3 linked regions of the Macaca fascicularis genome follow. The protein of the gene in region 3 purifies or fractionates together with the protein of the main gene of each other region. This does not show direct contact. Links are inferred from orthologs where the notes say so. Each region holds a gene or a part of one and is shown on either strand. Other genes may lie near its edges.

Region 1 (5,960 bases), on a different chromosome or scaffold from region 3:
CTCATACTGTCAACTTCCGGGTTGTCCCAGCACGCATGCATGCCTGTGCTAACACTCTTTATTCCAGGCCCTAGTTCCTTTTCTGCCTAGCACTGTCCTTATCTCATCTGTTAGGTTAGTCTGTGCCTCTCTTCACCCCTAGAAGGCAGGCTCCCCAAAGCAGGCTACGTCTTCTGTCCACTGCAGTGCCCAGAACAGGGCCTGGCTTTGAGAAGGTGCTCAGTAATGAATCATCAGACATGTCCCTGGTTGTAGAGCTTTTCATCAAACTCGCTAGGCTAACTGGCAAGGGCGGGACCTGGTGCTGCACTCTGGCTTGCGTGCATTGCTACTAATCATTCCCCTGTGTGCTTGGGAGAGAATGGAACCAGCTGTCACATCTACTGGGACAAGAGGCCTTGCAGTTCCATAAAATTTGGCAATAAAAAGTGGGGTCTTTCAACTTGTGACGTTGACAGTCTTTAAATAAGTGGTTCTCAGTGTGTTTTCCCACTCGGTCACAGGGTGTTATGTGGCCTATGCAGGGATTCTCAGTGGAGAAGGGGACTGAAGTCCTGGGGATGGGGCCTATGCAGGGATTCTCAGTGGGGAAGGGGACTGAAGTCCTGGGGATGGGAAAACTGTACTTGGATGAGGCCTGCTAGGTGATCTTGTCACCCGCCCCTCTTGGGGGATTACTTCTTTAAATACATTATGGAAAAATCCATGATGATTCAAGTTAGCAAGCTTGTAAGCATAAAAATGATCTTCATGAATTCTGAATTAAAAAAAAAAAAATCACTGTAGTTGGAAAATACTTCAAATAATCCATCTGTAACATTATTGTTGGCCAAGAGCTCAGGGTGGATTAAATTAGTAAAACTCTTGAATCACTGTGCTTTTGTAATTCAGAATGTGGTTCAGAAACTGGACATTTTTGAGGGTACCTAAGCATTTCTTTTCTGGATATTTACACTATGAAAATAACAATAAAAACTAATTGGTCATATTGGAGTCAGTTTTCCTATTCCATGAGCCCAGTCGAGGACGCTTTCAGGGTTTTTGAATCCTGAAGTCTGACTTTAAGTTGAGTTACTTGCCCTCAAGTTTGCCTCTCAGCCCAATTAAGACAGTCGCCCCCACCCATCCAATCAAAAAGAAACATGATAAAACCACAAATATGAGGCTGTAATTCCAGCACTTTGGGAGGGCGAGGTGGGTGGATCACTTGAGGTCAGGAGTTCAAGACCAGCCTGGCCAACATGGTGAAACCCCATCTCTACTAAAAATACAAAAATTAGCTGGGCATGGTAGTGCATGGCTATAATCCCAGCTATTCCAGAGGCTGAGGCAGGAGAATCACTTGAACCGGGGAGGCAGAGGTTGCAGTAAGCCTGTGTGACAGAGGGAGACTGTCTCCAAAAAAAAAAAAGAAAAAACAGAAAAACCACATACGTGTATATATGCCATACAAACTATATGAACCATTCGAGTTTTTTTCCATGATGATTACTACAATGTTTTTTAAAAAATCATATTATAAATGAGAGTACTCCAACTACTTGGTTTTGGTGCCCAGCTTGGTTGCACTCAGCGGCTACAGGGTAAACCCACCCCTTGTATGGCACTCACCCATAAACAGCGTATCTCAGAGGCCCACCGACATCTAGATTTCTAGAGTGTTCTTTTTTCCGCTTCTTCTCAATCATCTGGGCCAGGAAATTCCCAAGTGCTGACAAAATGCCACTGTGGAGAGGGAGGTCATCAGAAAACAGAAGTGACCAGCAGGAGGGTGTCCCCTTCCCACAGGTGAATGAGCAGGGCCGTTCTGAGGCCATGCAGCAGATGCGGGAGCGGCGGGAGTTGGAATTATTGTTAAAGGGGCTCAATGTATAGTTCTTGTATCAAAAGGTGGAGACTGCAGGGCTCGGCGGCTCACACCTGTAATCCCAGCACTGTGGGAGGCCAAGGTGGGCGGATCACGAGGTCAGGAGATCGACTCCATCCTGGCTAACACGATGAAATCCCGTCTCTACTAAAAATACAAAAATTAGCCAGGCAGGGTGGTGGGCGCCTGTAGTCCCAGCTACTGGGGAGGCTGAGGCAGGAGAATGTTGTGAACCCTGGAGGCGGAGCTTGCAGTGAGTGGAGATCGCACCACTGCACTCCAGCCTGGGCGACAGAGCGAGACTCTGTCTCAAAAAAAAAAAAAAAAAAAGGTGGAGACAGTGGACTTACATACATAGATAAGGACAAGCGGCTTTCCAGTATCAATGTTAACCTCCTGGCTGTGATGTTATACTGTAACTTTTGCAGTTTGGGAGTAAGGAAGCTGTGTGGTTATGAAAGGGCAACAGGACGGCCCTATCATGACACTGTTCTGCATTTTGACTGTGGTAGTGAACATGTGAACGTACAGATGTGATAAAACTGTACAGAACAGATACAACTACAAGAAAAATGGAGAAATCTGAATAGGATCTGTGGACTGTGTCCATGCCATGCCCTGGTTGATACTGCACTGCAGTTTCACAGAATGTAACCAATGGGGGACACTGGGAAGGTGTACAAGGGATCTCTCCATATTAGTCTTGTAACTGTGAATCTACAATTAGCACAATAAAAATTTCCATAAAAATGTGGAACACGCCCAGTGGCTCCCTCCAGGCCTTGGTTTGTATTTGCCTTCTGAGAAGCTCTCTGGACTATAAAATCCAAAATTCCTAGCACGGACCTAGACACCTTCTGGATCAGATCCCTGGCGATTCCCTTCACATCTCCTGCCTCTTGCTCAGGGTTCACGTTCTCCACACACAGATCTTCCCTCCCTCGGGACTGAGTCCAAGCTGCACCTCTCCCAGCCTTTCTTTAACGCCGGCCTTCCCTTCAAAACCTAACAGGGACCTTTGCCCTGCTGTTCCCTGTGCCAGGAGAGCCTCTGCTCCACTTCTTTACACAGCCTGTTCAATGTCACCTTCTCAAAAAATACCTTCCCTGGCCATGTCTCCACCCGCGCCGTGCGGACCCGAGTCCCCCAGACCCGCTCCCTTGGCCCTGTCTCCACCCGCGCCATGCGGACCCGCTCCCTGGCCGTGTCTCCACCCGCGCCATGCGGACCCGCTCCCTGGCCGTGTCTCCACCCGCGCCATGCGGACCCGCTCCCTGGCCGTGTCTCCACCCGCGCCATGCGGACCCGCTCCCTGGCCGTGTCTCCACCCGCGCCATGCGGACCCGCTCCCTGGCCGTGTCTCCACCCGCGCCATGCGGACCCGCTCCCTGGCCGTGTCTTCACCCGCGCCCCGCAGACCCGCTCCCTCGGCCCTGTCTGCACCCGCGCCGTGAGGACGCGCTCCCCTGGCCGTGGCTTCCCCGGGTGCGCGGCGCCCCTGTCGGGTCCTTGGGTGGAACCTCAGCGCCGAGCCCCCGGGGTCCGGGCGGGCCCTCCACGCGCTGGGAGGGCGGGATCCGCGAGGCGCCTCACAATCGCTGACTGGGGACGCGGGTGTCGCCGCGGGAAGTTCAGCACCGGCTCGGAGGGCGCCCGCTGCGGGGGCTCTGACCCGGGCGCGCCCCCAGACTGGTCCCGGCCCCGCGCTCCTGTCCAGGCCCCGCGCCACTGCGGCCGACCTGGGGCCGGGGCGGCGTCCGATTCCCGCACCGGCCGCGCCCCCGCTCACCTGGTGGCCGCCTTGGTGAGCACCGGGTAGAGCCGCAGGAAAAGCAGGTACTGGGCGAGCGCCCGCCGCGGGAGCGCCCCGAGCCCGGCTTCGGCCCGCAGCCTGGACGCGGCCGGCGCCATCGCCTCCCCAGCGCCGCGCTGCCGGGGGCATCGACCCCACCTCAGGCAGGCCGGGCGCGGAGCCCGAGGCGCGGAGCGCGGAATGGGGAAGGCCTGACATTTCCGGCCGCACCGCGGTCCGCAGCGCCGCCCGGTCCCAACCCCACGGTGCGGCGCGCGCGCCTCCGCACACTTTTCCCCGGTCCCTGCCGGCCACCTCCCCCGCAGGGCGCCGGCGCCTATTGGAGCGTCTCGGGGGGCGGGCGAGGGGCGGGGCGCGCCTCTTGATGGACGGCGGCACTTACGGCTCTCGCGAGACTGGGTAGGAGCGCGCCAAATTTCTCCCGCGAAACAGAGGGTGTAGCCTGCGGCTCCATGGCCCTGAGGAGCGGCTGGCGGCGGCGCGCGGACCCGGGCGCGGACGGCGAAGCCAGCAGGTGAGGGGCGCACTCCTGAGGCCCTCGGGCCGGCCCTTCGGAGGATGCCATGGGGCCGGGCTTGGGTGGCGCCGCCGAGGCGGGAGGGAGACGCGGGCCCCGCACTCGCCGCGCCTGACAGGGGTAGGGCTGCGCGCCCCGACAGCCGACCGAGGGGCCCGGGGCGGGCGGAGGCGCTACGGGCGCGGCTTCCCGCGGGGAAACGAGGCGGGCCGCGCGGCCTTCCCCTGCTCGGCTCTTCCTGAGGTTTTTCGGGCCTCGCCTTGCGCGCAGCTGCGTTTGGGGCCTGCCGCGCGGCGGGGGCGATGAGAGCGGCGGGACCCGGGCCTGGCCCTGCGGGGTGGACGCGTGGCCGGGGAGGGTGCGGGGAGGGGCCGGGCCGGGGACCGTGCCTGGGGGCCCGGCGCTGGGAGAGACCGAGGCGGGCAGATCGCTGGAGCCCAGGATCCTGTTCCAGATCAGCCTGGGCCACAGAGCGAGACCCGTTCTCCTCTATTTATTTTATTTTTTTGGACAGGGAGTCCCGCTCTGTCGCCCAGGCTGGAGTGCAGTGGCGCGATCTCGGCTCACTGCAACCTCCGCTTCCCGGGTTCAGGCGATCCCGCTGCCTCACTCAGCCTCCCGAGTAGCTGGGACTGCAGGCGCCTGCCACCGCGCCCGGCTAGTTTTTGTATTTTTGGTAGAGACGGGGTTGCACCATGTTGGCCAGGCTGGTCTCGAACTCCTGACCTCAGGTCATCCGCCCGCCTCCGCCTCCCAAAGTGCTGGGATAACAGGCGTGAGCCCCCGCGCCCGGCCCTTCTCTTGTAAAAACAAGAAAAATTAGCCGGGCTGGTGGTGCGCGCCTGAGGTCCCAGCTATTAATACTCCGGAGTCCGAGGCCGGAGGTTCACCTGAGCCCGGCAGGTCGAGGCTGCTGTGAGCCAGAATCGGGCCTCCGCACTCCAGCCTGGGCGACGGAGCCAGACCCTGTCTCAAAAAAAATAGAACAAGGGTAAGACGCGGCTACTTGGTGGCCACAGCAAACGGTAAACATGACCAGAGACCTGACCTTCTGCCATAAGCAGAAAATGTGTGAGGCCCGGCGGGGTGGCTCACGCCTGTAATCCCAGCACTTTGGGAGGCCAAGGCAGGCGGATCACCTGAGGTCAGGAGTTCGACACCAGCCTGGACGACACGGAGAAACCCCGGCTCCACTAAAAAAATACAAAATTAGCCGGGTGTGGTGGCGCGTGCCTGTAATCACAGCTACTCAGGAGGCTGAGACAGGAGAATCCGTTGAACCTAGTAGGCAGAGGTTGCGGTGAGCCGAGATGGCGCCTTTTTTCTCCAACCTGGGCAACAAAGAACGAAACTCTGTCTCAAAAAAAAAAAAGAAAGAAAGAAAAAGGAAACGTGAGAACGCGAAGCTTTTTACAGACACTTAGCTGAACAAAATTCTTCCCAGAGGAGAAACCGACTAGTAAGGATCCCTAACTGCTGTTGTGCTAATCGCTGTCTATCCATAGTCCCATTTGGTCCTCAGGCAAGCCCTGGAGAGGGTAGGTACCCTTAGTATCTACCTTGTGTGTTGGAACTTGTTGCTTAGAGACGTTCACTGACTGCCCTGGTTCAGGACCAGGACTGCCCTCCCCTTCTCCACTCCACTGCCCTGCCCCAAGCTCAGTGACAGCCTCCAGGCAGGGGGAAGGCTGCAGCTGGGATAAGTACAAGTGATGGCTTTTACCTTATATGCCGTATGTGGGTTACCTCATCTCATCCTTAAA
Region 2 (5,893 bases), on a different chromosome or scaffold from region 3:
GCCAGCCACCCAAGATGTCCATGTCCTGCCCCACCTCCAGGCCACGCTCTCCCTCGAGGTGGCGGGGGGCACGGCCCAGGCCCCGAGCTTGGGGCCAGCAGCGCCCAACTCTCAGACGTTCCTCCTGGTGCAAACTGCCCAGGGCCTCCAGCTGATCCCTAGCAGCGTGCAACCCCCTACACCTCCGCCCCCTCCTGCACCTCCCAAGCTCATCCTGCTGCCCTCCTCCAGTGCTGGGGCTGGGAGCGGCCGTGCAAGGCAGGGCCCGCGGGCAGTGGGGAAAGCCAGCCAGGGGGCGGGAGTGGTCTGGCTGCCAGGCCCTGGGGGTCTAGGGGTGCAGGGAGCGGCCAGCGCAGGGGCCAGCGGGGCAGCGCAGAGCCTCATCGTTCTGCAGAATGTGGGGGGTGGGGAGGCAGGGCCACAGGAAGTGAGTGGGGTGCAGCTCCAGTCCCTCCGGCCAGCCCCAGAAGTAACCACGGTCCAGCTCCAGCCAGCACAGGAGGTGACCACGGTCCAGCTTCAGCCAGCACAGGAAGTAACCACGGTCCAGCTCCAGCCAGCACAGGAGGTGACCACGGTCCAGCTCCAGCCTGTGGCCGGCCAGCTTTCCAATTCCAGTGGGGGAGCTGTGGCTACTGAGGCGCCCAACCTGCTGGTTGTTCAGAGCGGAGCAGCTGAGGAGTTGCTCACGGGCCCCGGCCCCGGGGAGGCGGGGGATGGTGAGGCCAGCACCGGTGTGGTCCAGGATGTCCTCTTTGAGACACTCCAGACGGACGAGGGCTTGCAGAGCGTGCTAGTGCTGAGCGGGGCCGATGGCGAGCAGACCCAGCTCTGCGTACAGGAGGTAGAAACCCTTTCCCCTGGGCTGACCGAGCCGCCTGCCACCGGCCCACCCGGACAGAAACTCCTCATCATCCGCAGCGCCCCAGCCACTGAGTTGCTGGACAGCAGCAGCACTGGAGGAGGCGCCGCCACGCTGCAGCTCCTGGCCCCACCGCCCTCAGGCCCAGCCTCGGGCCCCGCGGGGCTTCCCGCGGCTCCAGCCTCCCAGATGGTACAAGTGGTCCCCGCAGGAGCTGGGCCTGGTGTTATGACCCCGCAGGGCCTGCCCTCCATCCAGATTGTCCAGACTCTACCCGCAGTCCAGCTGGTGCACACGTTTTGAGGAGAGCCAGTGATTCCCCTCCCGCCCCACACAGAGACCCCGACTCACTGCCAGCCGGGGCGGGGCGGGGCGGGGTGCTGCAGGCTGGCCTTGCCTAATAAAGACCCGAGTCTCCCCGCCTGTGTTCTGTTTTCCTGAGGGGAGCGGAGGGGGAAAGTCATGGTCCTAGCCCCCGCCTGGGAGCGTGGAGTCTTAACTCGTGCGTCCTGGGTCAGCGTCCTGGGGCCAGCCACTACGTGGGGCTCAGTTCCCCTGTCCTGAAACCAAAAGACGCAGGGGTCATTACAGTGGGGAGGTGGTGACATCTGACTCCAGGGAGCGCCACTTGTTCACTGTAGGTCGCCCTGCTGCACCCCTCGTCTGAGAAATAGGGGGATCCTTATGCGGGAGGGCCCTGCGAGCCCGGGCGCCCCGTGGGGGGAATGGGGTCCCTGGGGATGGGGGGGTGGGGTGCCGCTGGGCTGGGGGATGCTGAGCGCGGCACCCATGAGAATCCACCCGCGGGCATCGCTGCCCCGCGCTCAGGTTGCTCAGCAACGAGGGAACGTGGGGCGGGAGCTCGCGCTGGTCCCCAGCCCGCCGCCCGTCTCCTGCCGGCGCCCGCTGCCCTTTTTCCCCGGGTCCCCTTTCCCCGTTGCTCCTTCTCTAGGGATAGGAGAGGTCACCTCCCGGCCAGCCGCAGGGTCACTGCTCCCCGCCCGCCCTCCCGGGAGCTTAGCAACGGTTGCTACGACCCGCAGCGGGCAACGCCCCGCCCCCAGCGCGCGCGGTCTGACGTCACTTCCGCCGACGACCCCCTCCAGACCCGCTCCCGAAACCCTGTCAAAGGACCAAAGGCGACCCGTGCAGGTGCTTGCGGGTCCTTGTTCTTGTGGCGCGGGACGGGGACGACTGTGGGGGAGGGGGCGCTGGGGACCGGGGCGGAGCGAGCGTGGTCCGTTCTCCGGCATGTGGGGAGGGGGCTCGTGGCCCCGTGCCTGGGAGGGAGCCCCGTGCTGCAAAGTGTGGGCGTCCACAGCGTGTTTAGGAGTGTAGATCGCTGAGTAATACGGGGGAGGGGGGTCCTGGAGACTAGCAAGGTCGCTGAGTATTGTGGGGGGCGCCTGTCCTGCCCAGAGCCTCGCTTGTGGGTCCCGAGGGCTCTCATTGTCCTGATCGGGGAAGTGCTGCTGCTGCTGCTACCCACCCCTCGGGGGGCTTTGGGGACAGAGGTGCCCCCCTGGCGCTGACCTGCTTGTGTTCTCACCAGGTGCACGACGCCAGCTCCCTTCTTGGGGGCGGGGGCCTGGGGGCTGCCATGGCCCCCAGCCACCTGTCAGTGCGGGAGATGAGGGAGGATGAGAAGCCCCTGGTGCTGGAGATGCTGAAGGTGAGAGGCAGGGGCCCCAGGGGGCCTGGGAGTGGCTGGAAGCGGGGGCATTGCAAGTGGATTCAGCCACCCCCTCCCACCCACCTGAGCCAGCCTGAACCCCCGGAGCGGGATCTTTTCTTCCTGGTCCTCAGCCGCCCTGGGGGCCGGGAAGGTGTTCAGCAGCTGGAGGTGCTGCTGAAAGCTGCAGCACGTGTGGCAGCCGGGGGCTCACCCCCCAGCCCTACTGGGACCGCAGCACTAACGCCCTTCCTAGTCTCGCATCTCCAGAGGGCCCGGCACTCCAGCGCAACAGCCAGCTCTGTGCCTCCGACCCCAGCTCTTCAAAGCATAGCCAGCCCCCCAGTCTAGCCTAGCAGCCCCCCTCCAGCCTCCACTCCAGCCTGAGGCAGGCTCCCTGTCCCTACTTTCCTGGCGCCTCACTGCGGCATTGCTACTGAATTGAGTGCCCCCACAGCTCCTGATTCATTCTTCCATCCATCATTCACTCTCGTTCATTCACTCCACACCCAGCGTGCCACACTGGTGACCATGGGACTGTGCTGCTTTCCCTTCCCATTTGGGAGCCCTCGCCCCACCCCGGGCAGGGTCTACCTCTCTCTAGGAGGCCCTAGTGTTTTGGATGGCTGAGCCACCCCTCCTGCCCACAGGCCGGCGTGAAGGACACGGAAAACCGCGTGGCCCTCCATGCCTTGACACGGCCGCCGGCCCTGCTCCTCCTGGCGGCGGCCAGCAGCGGCCTGCGCTTTGTCCTGGCCTCCTTCGCCCTGGCCCTCCTCCTGCCGGTGTTCCTGGCTGTGACTGCGGTGAAGCTGGGCCTGCGGGCCCGATGGGGCTCACTGCCTCCACCGGGTGGCCTGGGGGGGCCCTGGGTGGCCGTGCGGGGCTCCGGTGACGTGTGTGGGGTCCTGGCCCTGGCCCCTGGCACGAACGCGGGGGACGGGGCCCGGGTCACCCGCCTGTCTGTCTCTCGCTGGCACCGCCGCCGGGGCGTGGGCAGGAGGCTGCTGGCCTTCGCGGAGGCCCGGGCTCGGGCCTGGGCTGGGGGCATGGGGGAGCCCCAGGCCCGGCTCGTGGTCCCCGTGGCTGTGGCTGCCTGGGGAGTGGCGGGGATGCTGGAGGGCTGCGGCTACCAGGCCGAGGGGGGCTGGGGCTGCCTGGGCTACACGCTGGTGAGGGAATTCAGCAAAGACCTGTGAGGCTACAGGCTGACAGCCAGGGCAGGGAAGGAGGGAGGGGCGCCAGCACCTGAAGAGCGCCTACTGTGTGCAGGTACTTTTACGTGCTCTCCCTCGGTGAGTCCTCAGCCACCCAGGGCCCAGAAACAGAGGCCTGCCGAGGGGAGGAGCCTGGCCTGTGCCCGGCAGTCGGCAGTGTGAGGTCTGGAGTGTTTGAGCTTCTAAGAGTGAAATGACTCCTTTTCCTTCCTGGCCCTCAGGGGCCTCTCGAGGTCAGCCTCTCCAAAACCCCTACCTCAGCTCTGTCTGCACTGAGAAATCTCCCCGGTGGATGTCTGCAAAGTCTGTGCCCCAAGCCTGGGAGAGCTATCTGGGGAGGGGGAGAGGAGGCCCAGCAGAATATGCCCTCGAGTTAGGGTTTGCGACTCCGCCTCCCTGGGACCCAGATTGGGTCAGATGCCTGTGCTTGGAGGGGACAAGGTTGACTGCTTAGCGGGCGCGGCGCACAGGGCTGCCAGGCCTGGCCCCTCTCCGGGAAGGTCGGTCGAGAGCTGAGATGGGCAGCCCTGTCCCTTCCCCCAGACCCATCTGGTTTTTTCCACCGTTTGTTAATAAAGCCTGGAACCGCTGTGTGCCTGTCTCATCTCTGATGCCTTTCCCAGTCTGTCTCCGGACACCCCCCGCCCATTTCTGTCTGGCTCCTCCTTTCCCCAGTTAACGTTAATTGTTGGGGGGCGGTGCTGGACCGGGAGAAGGGGAGGCTGTGAGCTCAGGGGCAGCCCTGGGCCCTGCCAGCCCTTCTGAGTCACGCTCCCTATTACCGAATTTTTTCCACCTCACAGCTGCCTGGTGTGCAGGGAGTGGGGTGTGTGTGAGTGTGTGGAGGAGTGTGTGGAGCCCCTCCCCTTCCCAAGCCTTGACCCTCGTGCTGCTTATCCCCCGACCCCAGCTCCCTCTGGGACGGTGAAGTTCAAACTCTCCTCTCTCAGCTGGGGACTGCGGGCTTCACACTCAGATCCACCAGTGACGGGGAGGACTGGAGGGACGGGTCTTTCAGTCTCTTTTCCTAACCCAGGAAGTCCCTCCTGGTGTCTGGCTGCAAATCTTCTTGCTGCTGCACCAAGAGCCCCTGGGTCTGCCCAAGCCCCAACCCTAGCAGCAGTCTCAGTGGATTTCCCTGACCAGACAAGAGAGAAGACAGGTGGGCGCCCTCTCCTGCTCGTGCTGCACCCCCACGCACACGTCCCCCAGCCCCTGTCCTGCGCCTTCCTGCAGCCAGCCACCCCCTGAGCATCTCTGAGCACAGCACTTCGCTGGCTGCAGCACGCCTGGCCGTCGTCTCCGTCTCCCGTGTGGGTGTCTGCAGTTGGACACCCTCCCTCCCGCCCGCCACCCCCCTCCCCCCCATGCCTGAGCCGCCGGCCAGCCCCCTCCCGCCCCCCCTGTCCCCTGCCGCCTCCCTGCAGCCTCTTTCTTTCTCCTGGCAAAGTGTCCAGCCCTGCCTGCTTCTCCTCGGGCCTGGGCGCCTCCGGCAGGCGCTTCCCTCCCTCCCTCTCTCCCCAGCTGCCTCCTCCTCTTCTCTCCCGCTCTCCTTCCCCTTTCACCCCATCCCCTGCCCTGGCTGCAACCATGAGGGTCTTGGCCTGCCTCCTTGGTGAGTGATCCATTCTCCTTGGGGACTCAGGGGGCCTAGGCCCCCACCTCTGACCCCTTAGCTTATCCAGTTTAGAGATTCAAACTTCCGGGACTGGTCCCTGGTGCTCCTGCACACCCTGACATCCCTTCTAAGGATCCCCGCCTGATCTGCTCAGCCTTCTGCGAGCCCAGAAGCCCAAGGGACCTGCCCCCTGCCCGCCCCCCAGCCCTGACCCTGCAGGGGATGTCCCGGACACCTGACCTTTAGCCAAGCCCATGTGAGAGTACCAAAGCCGGGGTCCCCAGCCCTGACTTCAGGGACCCGGCATCGGCAGCCCCACCCGCCTCAGAGACCTGTGCCTCAGCCCGCCCCTCTGTCCAGAGTCCTGCCTCCCAGCAGCGGGGTTTCTGGTTCAGAGGTATGAGGACTCTGTGTGTGTGCGTGTGTGCGCACGCGCGTGTGTGAGGACTCTGTGTGCGTGTGTGCGTGTGTGTGCATGCGCGCGTGTGTGTGCACGCGTGTGTGTGCGTGTGTGTGCGCGTATG
Region 3 (5,899 bases):
TCCACCCGCCTCGGCCTCCCAACGTGCTGGGATTACAGGCATCAGCCACCACGCCCAGCCAAATTCTTGCTGGAGAAATGAAGTCAGAAATGCAAGACTGATTAGACAACAACCCCAGAGTCTTGAACCAGTTTATAGAAAACTAGAACTGCAGGATTTCCTCTTATACCCCAAAAGTTATACCCCTTATACCCCAACATACAGTGTGACAGCTTTATTCTCTCAGAGACACAACTCTCCCCACCCCCCAACTCTCCCCGCCTCAAATAAATAAAGGAAAAAAGCAGACTCAAGTTACTCTTTCTGCAGGCTCTGAGTAGACAAAATAGCCCACATGAGTGGATGTGATGGAAAATGAAGAGAAAAAGCAGAAATGGAAGTTCACAAACCTTTTCTGTGATCTCCTTCAGTGATGGGTACAGCACATCCTTGGAGAGTAGGTTCTGCATAATACTCTGCATGATGGGGAGGATGTTCCCTTCCCCATCCCCTTCGTCCATGCCTAGCCCCTCCATGGCCTTGGTCAGCTCTTCATCCGACATGCCAGAGTTCTAGATAGGACAAGTAAGAGGTGAGCAGGTATACCACCTTCTTGGGATGCTCACACTCTGTCAGGTGGGAAAGATAAACTACCTAAACTTGCCTGTAACAAAACAAGACAGGAACAGACTTGGGATGATACTCAAAGCATCTGTCTTTTGAGACTCTGCTGCAGAAGTGTCTGAGAGTGGACCCCTTGTGGGACCCTACTACTTTCTCCTCACCTGAAGGTCAGTGGCATTTTTGGCTAATCCACTTAGTGTCTCCTTTAGGCAAGAAGTGAATTCTTGTTGGGAGGTCATATCACTGCCTAGGAGAGATTTAAAAAGCCAGCGTCATTTAGGAATTTGTTTCCTTGCCTAGACTGAACTGGTTACCAGCTTGGATATGAAGCATTTACTAGTGAATCATTATCACTCCCCATCTGGGAAAACTGCGGTTATCCTGATAGTCTTTTCATACATCTATTTAATACACGGACTCTATGTCAGTTTATTCTCCATGATGATACCCACAATAACACTGTGACCTTTCAAATGGTCAGTTTTGAATAATCTTTTCTATTACTTTCTAACCTATCTCGCCCCTTTTCATTAAGAGGGATTTTCGGCCGGGCGCGGTGGCTCAAGCCTGTAATCCCAGCACTTTGGGAGGCCGAGGCGGGTGGATCACGAGGTCAAGAGATCGAGACCATCCTGGCTAACATGGTGAAACCCCGTCTCTACTAAAAATACAAAAAACTAGCCGGGCGTGGTGGCGGGCGCCTGTAGTCTCAGCTACTTGGGAGGCTGAGGCGGGAGAATGGCGTGAACCCGGGAGGCGGAGCTTGCAGTGAGCCGAGATCACGCCACTGCACTCCAGCCTGGGAGACACAGCGAGACTCCGTCTCAAAAAAAAAAAAAAAAAAAAAAAAAAAGAGGGATTTCCACCCCTTCTCTCATTGCCTTTACCCATTCCATGGCTGTGACATCATGATTACTATCAACTTCACTAAGAATTCTGGTGTTTTCAGGCAACAAAGACTTAAGAATCTGTTCAGATATTTCCATGTATCTAAGGTCTCCTCACCCACTCTCCCCGCAGCCTCCGAGAGCTTTTGGAACTGCTCCACCAGGTGGGGCTCTTCCTCAGCCAACTCCTTCATTGCCTTCTCGAACTCTGCAGTGGCTTGAGAAGCCAGTTCACTGTCGAATAGTTCCTGGAAAAACTTCTCTTGGGAAGCGAAGAGGGCATCCTGCGGGGGAAGGGTGGCTGAAATGCATCTCTTACTTAGAACTACACTGCACCTGGCCTCTGATAGAAGCCACAGGCAGTAGCTATGGGAAATGCACTTCCCTCCTACCCACTTCCACTGGACACTCTAACTACTGCTCCTAATGAGAATAGCAAAAAAGGTATCTAGTCTTTGAAAGAGGGTATGGGATGGCATACCAATCCAACCATTTAAACCTACTATTTTTTCAAGGAACTCTGAGATTCCTCCACTCAACCTCAAGTCCTTATTTCACAAGGACTGAGGCTGGCAAGAGCACTCACCAATGTGAGGCCAAGGTACCCTCCCCCATTCCCCTCTGGCCCATAGGGGCCTGCCCAACCTCTGCTCAGAGCTGCATGCCCATCCCCTCCCCATCCCTTCAGGGGGTGGAATTTATACTTTGGCAGTGTCTCCTGGCGATCTCTTCTGGGGCCCCGAAGCATCAGGGGCCGTGGTGGTAGAAGGGGGTGCTGGGGAGGGTTTGGCTTTATCGAAATCATCAAGAGCACCTTCAGAGACAAGAGACATGGTGTGTGTGTTGGCGACAGATGAGGATGCAAGCAAGGCTGGGTGGTTTCTGGGCAAAGCATTACGAATATGATTTTTCAAATTGCCAACTTTCCTCAATTTTCCGCCTTGAGGCCCCCACCTCCCCAGACCACCCTCAATGAGCCTCCTACTTCCTTCCAGATTACCTAATTTATTGTGAGCAAAGGCAAGAAATCCCTTACGGTGGAACAAGTATCCATCTCAGAGCTGGGAGGAGAGGATTAAAAATTTCTGCAGAGACATCTCCATCTATAGTGTCTCCCTTGCCACAACCTAATGATTCCCTAGAAATCCCATACAAATAAATACCCAACAGGAGTAGAGAACACAGATGTCCTCATCCCTCTGAACTCACTCTGGAGCTCTAAAAGGAATAACTTGGTGAGAAGGCACATGACATCCCACCCAGCTTCTTGTTGGTACTGGTACCAGCACAGACTGAGGGACCACATACTACATTCCATGGTAAGGCATTAAACTATCTTCTCTTATTCTCCAGTTTAGTGCTCTCCCACAACCTCCTAGAGCTCCTTTTGGTCTGATCTTTGCAGATAACCGTAGGCTAATTTACAGTCACTTGGCACTCCTCAGCGTTTCTGTTCATTCTTCTGCCTGCCCACATCTCTGTGATCGAGCAAGAGATTACAAATTCACCTCTGCCCTGAAAAGCCTGTGTCCTCACCACCATTCTGCTTGCCAGGCCCAGGGAGAGAGCACTGGCCCCACTCTGGGCAGGAAGCCAACAGGGGAGTGGACAGTAATGCTAAGAAAACATCCACCGTCTTTCAGGAGGGTGAACTGCTTTCCCCTGAAATCGCCACATCCTCAGTTTCTCAAAATAAGGGAAAGGAGTCCGCTTGAGCTACTAACAAGATGAAAGAACTGTTAAGGGGCCTAACGAGAGAAAGAGAAAAGGACTACGAGGAGAAAAGTGTCTTTCATGTCAAGGAAGGCAGGACGAGGCGCAGCAGCATGGGCCACGAGCTTGCTAGGAGTTAATGTAAGCAATCAGTGAGTGCGTGGTTCGCTACCCAACAAGAACCAAATGCTGCTGCTGCTGCTGCTGAAGTCGGACTTTAAGAACTTAGTAACCTAAAGAAAGAGGAGTTTGGAGAGGTATCATGAAACGCCGTCCTGCGGAAACATCCACAATCTGGACCACTGGGGGACCCCAGGTGAGTTCCCCAGCTCCAGTCGCGGAGGTGGGGCAGGATGACCCAGAGATTTTTTGGGGGGCTGGCGGTCAGACTCTCCGCCCCCATTTAACCTTTGGAGATCCTCTCCCGCCCTGTCCCTAATACCTCAGGTTCACTTAACGCCCGGAATGGGTCCTCACAACTGCCCTCTTCGGGCCTTTCCCACTATGGGCTCTTACTTTCCAGAAGCTCCTCCAATTCCCTGTCTGCTTCTGCCCCGACACCACAGTCTTCCTCAGCGGCCGCCATCTTGCTACCTCCGACTTGCCGTAGGAGGCGGGACCCCTCGGCGCCGCCACGCCCTCCACCCCTTCGTTCCTGCCCTCTTCTGCCTCGGGCAACCAATGGTATTGTTGGCCAGTGCGGAACCGCCATTTTTAAAGGGCCAGGAAGCTTTGAGTTTCTGTTTTGGGTATTTTTCCCCTTTCGCCTGTGAAACACAGAATTAAGGATAAGATAGTGTTATTTTCTGCCTGGTTTTAGAGGCCCGGACTCCTTTCAACTTCCCAAATTACCTGGCGAAGCTCTTTCATTATTTCTTCCTGAGCTATGAGTAGGCTAGATTGAGACAAACTGCCTACAAATAACCAGAATCTATACATATATGATTGATATGACAATTATGGTACATAACATACTACTTTCTCTCACTTCTTTTGTTGAGACGGAGTCTCGCTCTGTCGCCTAGGCTGGAATGCAGTGGCGCTATCTTGGCTCACTGCAGCCTTGGCCTCCTGGGTTCAAGCGATTCTCCTGCCTCAGCCTCCCGTGTAGCTGGGATTACAGGCATGCACCACCACATCAGGCTAATTTTTGTATTTTTAGTAGAGACGGGGTTTTACCTTGTTGGCCAGTCTGGGTAGCCAGGCTGGTCTCGAACTACTGACCTCAGGTGATCCACCCACCTCAGCCTCCCAAAGTGCTGGGGATTACAGGCGTGAGCCACTGCGCCCGGCTTCACTTCATTATTTCATTCAAATGTTATCTTCTCTGAAACACTTTACTTGGCCATTCCTTTTCTTCTTAACACTGAACACTATCTGACATATTATCTACCGTGCTTGTTTATTCTCCGCTCCCCACCGTGCAGAATTTAAACACTATGAAGGCGAAGATTTTCGTCTGTTGTCTTCGCTGCTGTAAAGCCCAACTCCTAGGCTAGGGTTTAAAACTTAGTAGGCACTCATTGGCCACTCTTTGCTCTTGCAGTCCCTAATCAGGCACATCTGTCTGCCCAATCTAGTGGCATCTCTCATTTCCTATTCTCTATTAGAACTGTTTGATTAAAGGACACAGGGCCAGGAACTTAGAACTCAATGTTAGAAAGAGAGCATCTGGGACCTTGGACTGAGCAGGGCAATTAGAATGTAGTAGTTAGTAATAGACTTGCTTTCCCTGACCAATCTCCTTTTCTCCACACAGAACCCAACCTCCAACTGAGTGAACACCGGGGATGCTCAGATAGAGGTAACTCTAGACGTCCCTTTCCTCCTTTGGAATTGTTCTATTCAGATCTGTAAGAATGTAGCAACTGTTTCACATACAGATCTGTTTTAGCACTTGGAGAGCACCTATTATTTAGGTCTTGTTCTGGGCACAGCAAGGACAAAGAGATAAATCAGGACCACCCCCTGCTGTAAGGTAGCTAAGTGGAGGTGAGCCGCAGGTATGATGAGATATACACACAGTAAGTATGACACAAGGTAAGAATTTTAAATGAAAAAAATTCCTGTGTTAAGTCACCTCATCACTTTCATGCTTAGCTTCCCAAACACACATTTGAGTACTGCATCAAGCACCAGAAAGACTTACTATGTCTTTCACAGACAGGGCACAGACATGTAAAATCGTATCTGTGCAAAACCTGTTTCCTTCTGACCACAAGTAGTGTGTTTTGGGATAAAAATATTATGAACTGTAAGTTATAAAGCCTAAATTCCAGCCCTAATTCTGCCACTAAATCACTTTCTAAGTCCTTTACAATTCTAAACTTCTGTAATCAAATCCTTTCCTGATAAACTTGTTTCCCCAATACCTGCAACATAATTTATTCCAGGGTTTCTCATTCAAATTGCTTACATGTGGATCTCCAATATGGCTATAGGTATAACAAACACGTTAAAAAAAAAGAAAACTTGTCTATCAACAGGCATCTCTATTGGCTTTATTTTATTTTTTGAGACGAGTTTCACTGTCACCCAGGCTGGAGTGCAGTGGTTTAATTTTGGCTCACTACAGCCTCCATCTCCAGGGTTCAAGTGATTCTCCTGTCTTAGCCACCTGAGTAGCTGGGTCTACAGGCTTGCGCCACCATGCCCGGCTAATTTTTGTATTTTTAGTAGAGACAGGGTTTCACCAT

What was found. The genes of interacting proteins can lie anywhere in the genome.
Region 1: the proteins of PEX19 (region 3) and PXMP2 purify together in Homo sapiens (affinity purification with mass spectrometry; 3 studies listed by BioGRID and IntAct, counting the BioPlex papers as one, with this or other methods). This does not show direct contact. The link is inferred for Macaca fascicularis from reciprocal best matches to the Homo sapiens genes PEX19 and PXMP2.
Region 2: the proteins of PEX19 (region 3) and NAT14 purify together in Homo sapiens (co-immunoprecipitation; 3 studies listed by BioGRID and IntAct, counting the BioPlex papers as one, with this or other methods). This does not show direct contact. The link is inferred for Macaca fascicularis from reciprocal best matches to the Homo sapiens genes PEX19 and NAT14.

The regions. Positions count from the first base shown.
Region 1 is NC_088385.1:139,800,372-139,806,331, reverse strand, and holds the start of PXMP2 (peroxisomal membrane protein 2), read right to left. Parts: upstream 3,928-5,960; 5' UTR 3,779-3,927; coding exon 3,657-3,778; intron 1,726-3,656; coding exon 1,612-1,725; intron 1-1,611. Other genes in the region: POLE (DNA polymerase epsilon catalytic subunit A), read left to right, coding at 4,133-4,194. UniProt on the Homo sapiens protein: Seems to be involved in pore-forming activity and may contribute to the unspecific permeability of the peroxisomal membrane.
Region 2 is NC_088393.1:63,432,152-63,438,044, forward strand, and holds NAT14 (probable N-acetyltransferase 14), read left to right. Parts: upstream 1-1,966; 5' UTR 1,967-2,014; intron 2,015-2,414; 5' UTR 2,415-2,462; coding exon 2,463-2,534; intron 2,535-3,184; coding exon 3,185-3,733; 3' UTR 3,734-4,342; downstream 4,343-5,893. Other genes in the region: ZNF628 (zinc finger protein 628), read left to right, coding at 1-1,165; soluble scavenger receptor cysteine-rich domain-containing protein SSC5D, read left to right, coding at 5,342-5,366. UniProt on the Homo sapiens protein: Probable acetyltransferase. May act as a transcription factor that regulates the expression of coproporphyrinogen oxidase by binding to a promoter regulatory element.
Region 3 is NC_088375.1:100,773,369-100,779,267, reverse strand, and holds the start of PEX19 (peroxisomal biogenesis factor 19), read right to left. Parts: upstream 3,802-5,899; 5' UTR 3,790-3,801; coding exon 3,720-3,789; intron 2,305-3,719; coding exon 2,195-2,304; intron 1,775-2,194; coding exon 1,609-1,774; intron 851-1,608; coding exon 765-850; intron 552-764; coding exon 390-551; intron 70-389; coding exon 1-69. UniProt on the Homo sapiens protein: Necessary for early peroxisomal biogenesis. Acts both as a cytosolic chaperone and as an import receptor for peroxisomal membrane proteins (PMPs).